Linked DNA regions of Rattus norvegicus. The protein of the gene in region 1 purifies or fractionates together with the protein of each later gene. This does not show direct contact. Links are inferred from orthologs where the notes say so. Each region holds a gene or a part of one and is shown in the gene's direction. Other genes may lie near its edges. The genes, in order: Nfx1 and Larp1.

Region 1 (3,815 bases):
TCTCTCTCTCTCTCTCCCTCTCTCTCCAGATGGCCAGAGTGGTTGGAGGTGCCCCGCTTGTCAGAATGTTTCTGCACATGTTCCCAGTACCTACACTTGTTTCTGTGGTAAGTAAGTTTGTGTCTGCAGTGTGGCACTCACCTCAGTGAGAGGTTATTGAGAAGACTTGAGAGTTATAAGAGGATGTTCTGTTGTCCTGTGTATTGTGTCCCAGGTGGGTTCGTAGGCCTGGGTGCTGCAACAGCTTTGACATTGTAGATCTAAGCAGCACGAGTAAAGCAGTGCTTAATAAGAAATGAACTGTGTAACTTCATAATGGAGAGCTTTTCTAGGAATTGGTAACACAAACTATCCTTGTATTCCCTCTCTGTGCACTAGTTTTTCCTGGTTTTGTTTTCAGACAGGGTCTCACTATGTTAGCCCTGGCTGGCCTGGAACTTACTATGCAAACCAGGCTAGACTTGAACTCAGAGGTCTGCCTGCTGGGATTAAAGATATGCCACCCTGTCTAGCCACTTTTCCTGATCTTTAATAGCATCAGTTTTCTTTGGTCCAGATGAATTCCTACTGCTAGCTGTATGTCTTTTTTCTCCTTATAGTGATTAATCTAGTTGATTTAATTCCTGACGGTTTGTTTCTCCCTTTGAACCATTAGGTTTTTGCATCTGCCTTTGTTATCTCACTGAAACTGTATTCAAAACTCATCAGTCACAGTGCCATATAGGCTTATGTAATTAACTTTTTGGCAGATGACTCCCTTGACACTTTTGACCATTGTTTTCATAAAGAAGAAAAATTAGCCTGTTCTATTTCTTTTTGTATACTGTCTTTATTGTCCTAACCAGCTTGCTTATAGTCCTCTTTTTTTTCCCCCTCACAATGGCTGGTTGCTACTCAATAACTTAATTCCTTCACTAGCAAACATGTTCTGCATCCCCACCCTTTTTGTGGTGCTGGGCTCAATCCCAGGGCCTCCTGAAAGCTAGGTAAGCACTCTACCACTCCCCCTTCATTATGTCTTCATTTAACTCTCTCACTTCCAAGTGCTGTTTTTCCCCAAAGGAAGCTCCTTTTGTTAGTCCTTCTCACTTTAGCTTCTCTTTATGTGAAATCTGCTGTTTCTATATGATTTGTTACCAAAATCTGAGTTCAGAATATTAAATCGATATTAGTAAAGGGTATGAATATTCTTGATTGAGTATCATACTAGGAAGATAATGTAAATTAGATATGATGTCACTGGCAAGTCAGGCAGATAAAATTATAGCAAACCTCAATTATATTAAGGGATATATATTTATTTTTGCTTTTCTGAGATAGCATTTCACTCTGAGACCCAAGCTTAGAGAGGTGTCCATGAAGATTTATATAGACATTGACAATGAAAGTTCAGCCCTTTTATGCCTACTGGGAAGCTTCAGAGCCAGGCTCCTCTGTGGGATTTCTCTCTGTCCATCCCACAGCCTCTTCCTGGTTCAGTCCCTTTCTTTTTCCACCCCGTGAGCTCCCCGCAGTGCTGGAGCAGACCCCAGAGCATGTTAAGACATGCCCTACCACTGAGCTGTGCCCTGGCACTCTTCCTTTCTTTCCTTCTGGTCATCATCACAGACACTTGTCAGTTTAAGAAGATTTATCAATGGCTTATCTAGTAAATATCTCAAAAAATAGATTATGTTCAGTAGTACAAAATGTCATTTTCACTGGTAAAAGTTGCTTATCTTTTTCACCGTGCTCAGTAGGTTGTAGGCTAAGTGGCGTTACAGCCAGCTTTGCTTCAGAGTGTACAACAGACAGCAGATGCCGTCCTGCTGAGAGCAGTGCACAGGCTTCAGTTTCACATCGCCTAGCCGTTTCATAGACGTTGAGGGTGTGGTTGGAATTTATAGCATTGACTCTCCCATTTGATTTGTCATAGGCAAAGTAAAGAACCCTGAATGGAGCAGAAATGAAATTCCGCACAGTTGTGGTGAAGTTTGTAGAAAGAAACAGCCTGGCCAGGACTGTCCACATTCCTGTAATCTGTAAGTTGGGAAAGCAGACTTCTGGGGATTCCCTAGAAGGGCTTTGCTAGTGGCTTTGAGCGTGCATACTGTTGTCATGTAACAGGAAGGGGAAAGAGTGATGCGAACCGTTCGCTGAGCAGACACCCTACTAAGTAGTGAAATCCTTCCCACAGCCCAGTGCTGTCTGTAGGTATGATGGTTTCCACTTCACAGATGAGGCTCAGAAAGAATGCGAGGATGTGATAAAGTTGTGTATCAAAGCCAACAATCCTGCTGTTTTACACTGCTGGTTTTAAGAAAAAAAGTTAAAGGCATTTTTGTAGGACATCCAGGGAAAGGTGTTCATTTGTGCAGCAGCCTGTACGATAGGACTTGGAGGTGTGAAGAATATTTGTTCCTCTTTCTCACAAATTCGGTATTTGCCGTCATTTAGAATGTCCCTCCTCAGGATACAAACTGCAGGCAGACACATGTAAGCTGGGACTTGAACCCAGGTCTCCTGGAAGAGCAGCAAATGCTCTTAATTACCAACCCATCTCCAGCCTGTGGAGGGAGGATAAGAGAAGGCTCTGTGTGTGTGTGTGTGTGTGTGTGTGTGTGTGTGTGTGTGTGTGAGTGTGTGTGTGTGTGTGTGTGTGTGTGTGTGTGTGTGTGTGTGTGTGTGTTGAACATCATCAGAAATACATGATACCCGTGTGTGGAGCAGTCGTTTAAAGATCCATCATCCTGTGGAAGCCAGAGGAGCATTCATGCAGTCATACTGTGCTTCCACCTTTACATGGGCTCTAGAAATGAAAGGCAGCGGGTTAGCAGACTCGGAGTGGGCACCTTGCTAAGCCCTGTCTTACTTTGTTCTGTGTTTTGAGATGGGGTTTCATGCTATAGCCCTAGCTGCTGTCAGCCACTCTGTTATCCTCAGACCTCAGCTTCCTCGGTGCTGGTTGTGAGCTGCTGTTCTCAGCAGAAATCACCCCTCCACAATTTGTAATATCCCAGAAATAGGGTTAAGTGAGATGACTTATGGGTAAGGTGCTTGCTGCCAACACTGGGATCTACATGGTGAATGAAGAGAACTGACTCTCCCAAACACACACACACACACACACACACACACACACACACACACACACACACACACACAATAATTTTTTCTTAACTTCCAAAAATATTTTTGTTCAGTAGAATTTCTTAACCAGTCTATAATTGACAGTTTTCCATGAAGGCAATATTTACCTGAAATACTAAAATTTAATTTTTTTTTTCTTGTTCTAGCTTCTATACAGCATTCTGTCAGATGTCTAGTTCTAGTAGAGACATCACTAAGCTCAGTTTTCCCACAGCCTCTTGCCCCTGTGTTGGAATTATACACCACTCATCTGCCCCCGTGGCTTACTGGCATACTGTCCCTGTGCTTGCCATCTTTGCACTGTAACCGTGTTCAGCCCAGGGCCTGGTTGTCTGTACTTCTCATGGTCTTGGTAGATGTGAGCACTGTGGGTCCATCCCTTCCTGTGAACCTTCTTCCCTCCCCCTCTCCCTCCTTCCCTCCCTCCCTCCCTCCTTCCCTTCTTTCTTCTCTCCCTCCCTTCCTCCTTCCCTCCTTTCCTTCCTCCTTCCCTCCCTTTCTCCCTTCCTTCTTCCCTCCCTCCCTTCTGAGACTCCTACCCAGGGTCTTCCACAAGTCACTAAGTGCTGTCCTACTAAGAGGTACACACATACCAAGTTGGACCGAGGCCATATATTTTCATGAGTCATCTTTATCAAATTCAAACAAAACCAATATTTTTTTTTTTTTTTTTGGTTCTTTTTTTC
Region 2 (3,815 bases), on another chromosome or scaffold:
TGGGCTACAGAGCAAGACCCTTCTTTTAAAATGCTTGAGAAAATAGCTTTAAAAGGCTTTATTATGTTTGTTTATTTTGTTTGTTTTTTGGGGGGAGCACCAGGGCATGCTTGTGGAAATCCGAGGACAGCTTGTGAGAGTTGATTCTCCATTTCCTGGCGAGGCAAGGTATATTTTACTCAGACCAAGAGACTTGAAAAGACCAGTGTCTGGAAACTTTTGCCCTCTTTTCAGAGATGATTTTCGGTATACCTTACTTCCAGTCCTTGTGCATAGAATTCTTTCTTTCTTTCTTTCTTTTTTTTTCCAGAGCTGGGGACCGAACCCAGGGCCTTGCGGTTGCTAGGCAAGTGCTCTACCACTGAGCCAAATCCCCAGCGTGCATACAATTCTTGTTGTAAACTTTGTCACTAGCTTTGGGGCTTGCTTTCCTGCTAGCATGTACCAATGCTGTTGAGCACATGAAGAAATGACTCCAGTTGTAGCTCAGGTGGGCGGCCACTGTCCAGGCCCTGGGCTGAATTGGATGAAGATCTGTTTAGTTGTTAGATGGTCGGTATATCCCTGGGTGTCCTGGAACTTACTTTGTAGATTAGGCTGTCCTCAGATTTCCAGAGATCCTTTGTCTCTGCCACCTGAGTGCTGGCATTAAAGGCATCTACTACCACACTTGCTCGGCTCGTGTGAGGAGCTTTAGACCAGTCAAGGAACTACTAAATGTTCAATGGCTTATCTGGGTCAACCTGGGGTCAAAGGACAGTGGTTTTCTTGCACCTGAGATTTTCTAGTTTTCTGCTTCTCAGCCCTGGAGGTTGCTGTGGGCTCAACAACTCCAGCTATCAGAAGACTTATGTCCACCATTAGGGGACAGTGGCTCCAGTAACCGGCCAGAAGCCAGGAATGAATTGGCTTCACCCTTAGGAACTGGGCAAGGACACTTTCTTCTCATTAAAGGACATAGTCTGTTGAAAAACCTTGTGAGGCCAGCCAGCCAGGTTTCTGTGCTTGGAGGCTAGGGTAGTTCCTGACCTGACATGGCAGAGGAGGGAAGTACAAGCTAAAGTGAGTGAGCAGAATCTCAGGTTGTGTTTCTTCCCGTGGATCTCTAGAGGCAGGAGGGACAAGACACCCTTGGTTTTCAGGACCAAACTAACCAGAGCCACTTCTTCTAGACTTGCGTACTCTGTTCCTTAAAAGCCATCTTCGTCTTTGTAGAAAAGTTAAATATATGCCCCACAGATGCATGATTACATACACGCTCCTCTGTTCTATAGAAAACAGATGAAGTCATCATCTTCTATGTGTCTATCTCCACATAACCAAAGACCAGTATATTCTAATGGCTATTGTGAAAGTGGATGAATTGAAATTCGGTGATTTTAGTACTGTTGGAGTTGAAATTGTGTATAGCTCTTGTCTCACTTGTATTATTGGGGTTCAATCTAAAAGATGAAACTGGCCAGGTATGGTGGCATGCTTGGGAGGCAAAGGATGTGTCGGGGGGAGATCTCTATGAGTTCAGCAGTCTGATCTGCTGACAAGTTCCAAGCCAGTCAGGGCTACACTGGGAAATGTTGTCTCACAAAATTGAACTTTAGAGTCAAATCGGAGTATGCCTTTTCTTTAGGAACAGAAAAGGTAGTTCTTACTTCAACTACATGTCAGCGAGGACACAGCAGGCCTTGGTATGGCCCTGGACGTGTCCATTCACATGTTTAGCTTTATTTTCTTTGGGCTTGCAGAAGTATACAGAAGACTCAATCTCCTTACAGGTTTTGCCTATAGATTTGGAGCTCTGAGTTACAGTGTAGACTTGGTTATGGACCTTGAGACTCAGTTGATAACTCATAAAAAATACAGACTTAGACTCTAAGGGTTTTCCCACTTCAGTGTTGAGCAGCTTGGTGGCTAGGCTGCCAGTTTATATTGTTGCCCTTTCTGCTGTGGCTCCTTTGGGAACCTGTAGGTGCATGGTGGGATGGGCATGGTAATGACATAGGCTCTGACAGCTGATTCTTTCTCTTTGTTCCCACAGAACCTTCTGCTCCGGCCAAGGTGGTGAGGGCAGCTGCTCCCAAACAGCGTAAGGGCAGCAAGGTAAAGACCGGGGAGTGTCCCTGTGGGCGCTCATTATTCTTGTTCTCATAAGCACTTCGGGCCCTTCTCTAAGAGCATGGAAGCCTTTATGGGTGCCATTGCATGGTGTCTGAGTGCACACACTGTTGTGTCCCTATCTCTAAAAAGAGCTAGAGCTTGGGTGTGGAGCAAAATGGCAGGCAGAGTAACCCCAAGGCCTTCATAGACGATACCTTGCAGGTTGGTGACTTTGGAGATGCAATCAACTGGCCTACACCTGGAGAAATAGCCCACAAAAGTGTGCAGGTGAGTGAGGAGGGGTTGGCAGGTTCAAGTACTCTTCATACTGACTTAGTTGGTTTTTGACCAAGAGCCATAAACACCACCTTTCTTGATTTTTGAAAAGGAGTGGTCGGTGAGCACAATAGTATGTATACTTCTGAAATCCCAGCTACTCAAAAGGATAAAGAAGGATGACTATACTCAGTCCAAGAGTTCAAGGCCATCCTTTGAGACATAGGACTCCCAACCCCCTTCAATTCTCAACAAATGAAGAGTAGTTATTTAAGATGGACAGGAATGAAATAATTAGGAATTACCATCATGTGAGCCTTTGCCTGGTTTCAGGGGTGCCAGGCACTGTTCTTTTTTGCCTTCCAGTGGTGGCTCAGCGGGTTTAGGAAACAACTGTGTTACAGTTTTCCAAAGCCCATATTTTTCCATTACTGAGCCACATTTTTCTATGAGTAATTGAAAAAAGAGGTATCAGTTGAGGCACTGACTCCAGTTTGGGGAGGTATACTTAGCTCCCCTAGATTCTAGCAGAAGAGACTCTTTCTTGGTCAGTTCAGTTCCACTCATCACTTTTGTTCTGAGCTAGTGACTGCCCCAGTGGGTCCCTTATGGTAGAGGTTTTGGTACAGACAGGCCAGCATCTTTTCTATCCCACAGATTTGGGTAGCTAGAACAATCAGTTGTTCTTCCATAGCTGGTATGGTCGTGTTTTGTAGTGGTGTTGTCTGAGTATGAAAGCTAGACCTTAGGATGTATCTAGTGTAGCCTGTCCTTATACTTCCCCAGTGACCACATGTTTCCTTGCCTCTTGTAGCCACAGTCCCACAAGCCTCAGCCTGCCCGTAAGCTGCCACCCAAGAAGGACATGAAGGAGCAGGAGAAAGGAGATGGAAGTGATAGTAAGGAGAGCCCAAAAACAAAGTCGGATGAATCGGGGGAGGAAAAGAATGGGGATGAGGACTGCCAGCGAGGCGGGCAGAAGAAGAAAGGTAAGTGGCTTGGCCAGGACCCGGGAGGTGTACCTTTCAGAACTTTGAAATGACATAAGCCTGACCTGCTGGAGGAACTTCAGGCCAGGGGGTGACTGACTGCTTGGAGCAGCTTTTGCTCAGCCTTAGTGCATCTTCTCTTATACGGGCTTTTATATTGCTCTAAGAGTTTCTTAAACCTGTTGAAATGATACAGGCTTGACTGCTTTCTCTCCGAGACCTATTCTGTGTCTGCAGGCCAGGCTTGAGGTGGCAACTCTTAACTCATTAAGCACAGCAGCCTCTCCATCCAAGGTGGCTCCCTTGTTCCTGCTCACTCCACCTAGAATGGCCCCACAAGGTTGTCACAGGCAGTGATGTGTCACATGTGTGAAGGGAGCCTAGAAAGTTAGTTTTTATTCAGGTTTCCAGAAAGTGATTCTTACATCTGGAACCTCTGATCTCCTTATTTTAGAG

The links.
Region 2: the proteins of Nfx1 (region 1) and Larp1 purify together in Homo sapiens (affinity purification with mass spectrometry, with the first as the bait; 3 studies listed by BioGRID). This does not show direct contact. The link is inferred for Rattus norvegicus from reciprocal best matches to the Homo sapiens genes NFX1 and LARP1.

The regions. Positions count from the first base shown.
Region 1 is NC_086023.1:60,914,644-60,918,458, forward strand, and holds part of Nfx1 (transcriptional repressor NF-X1), read left to right. Parts: intron 1-29; coding exon 30-107; intron 108-1,915; coding exon 1,916-2,021; intron 2,022-3,815. UniProt on the Homo sapiens protein: Binds to the X-box motif of MHC class II genes and represses their expression. May play an important role in regulating the duration of an inflammatory response by limiting the period in which MHC class II molecules are induced by interferon-gamma.
Region 2 is NC_086028.1:42,722,625-42,726,439, forward strand, and holds part of Larp1 (la-related protein 1), read left to right. Parts: intron 1-2,035; coding exon 2,036-2,097; intron 2,098-2,316; coding exon 2,317-2,382; intron 2,383-3,184; coding exon 3,185-3,359; intron 3,360-3,815. UniProt on the Homo sapiens protein: RNA-binding protein that regulates the translation of specific target mRNA species downstream of the mTORC1 complex, in function of growth signals and nutrient availability.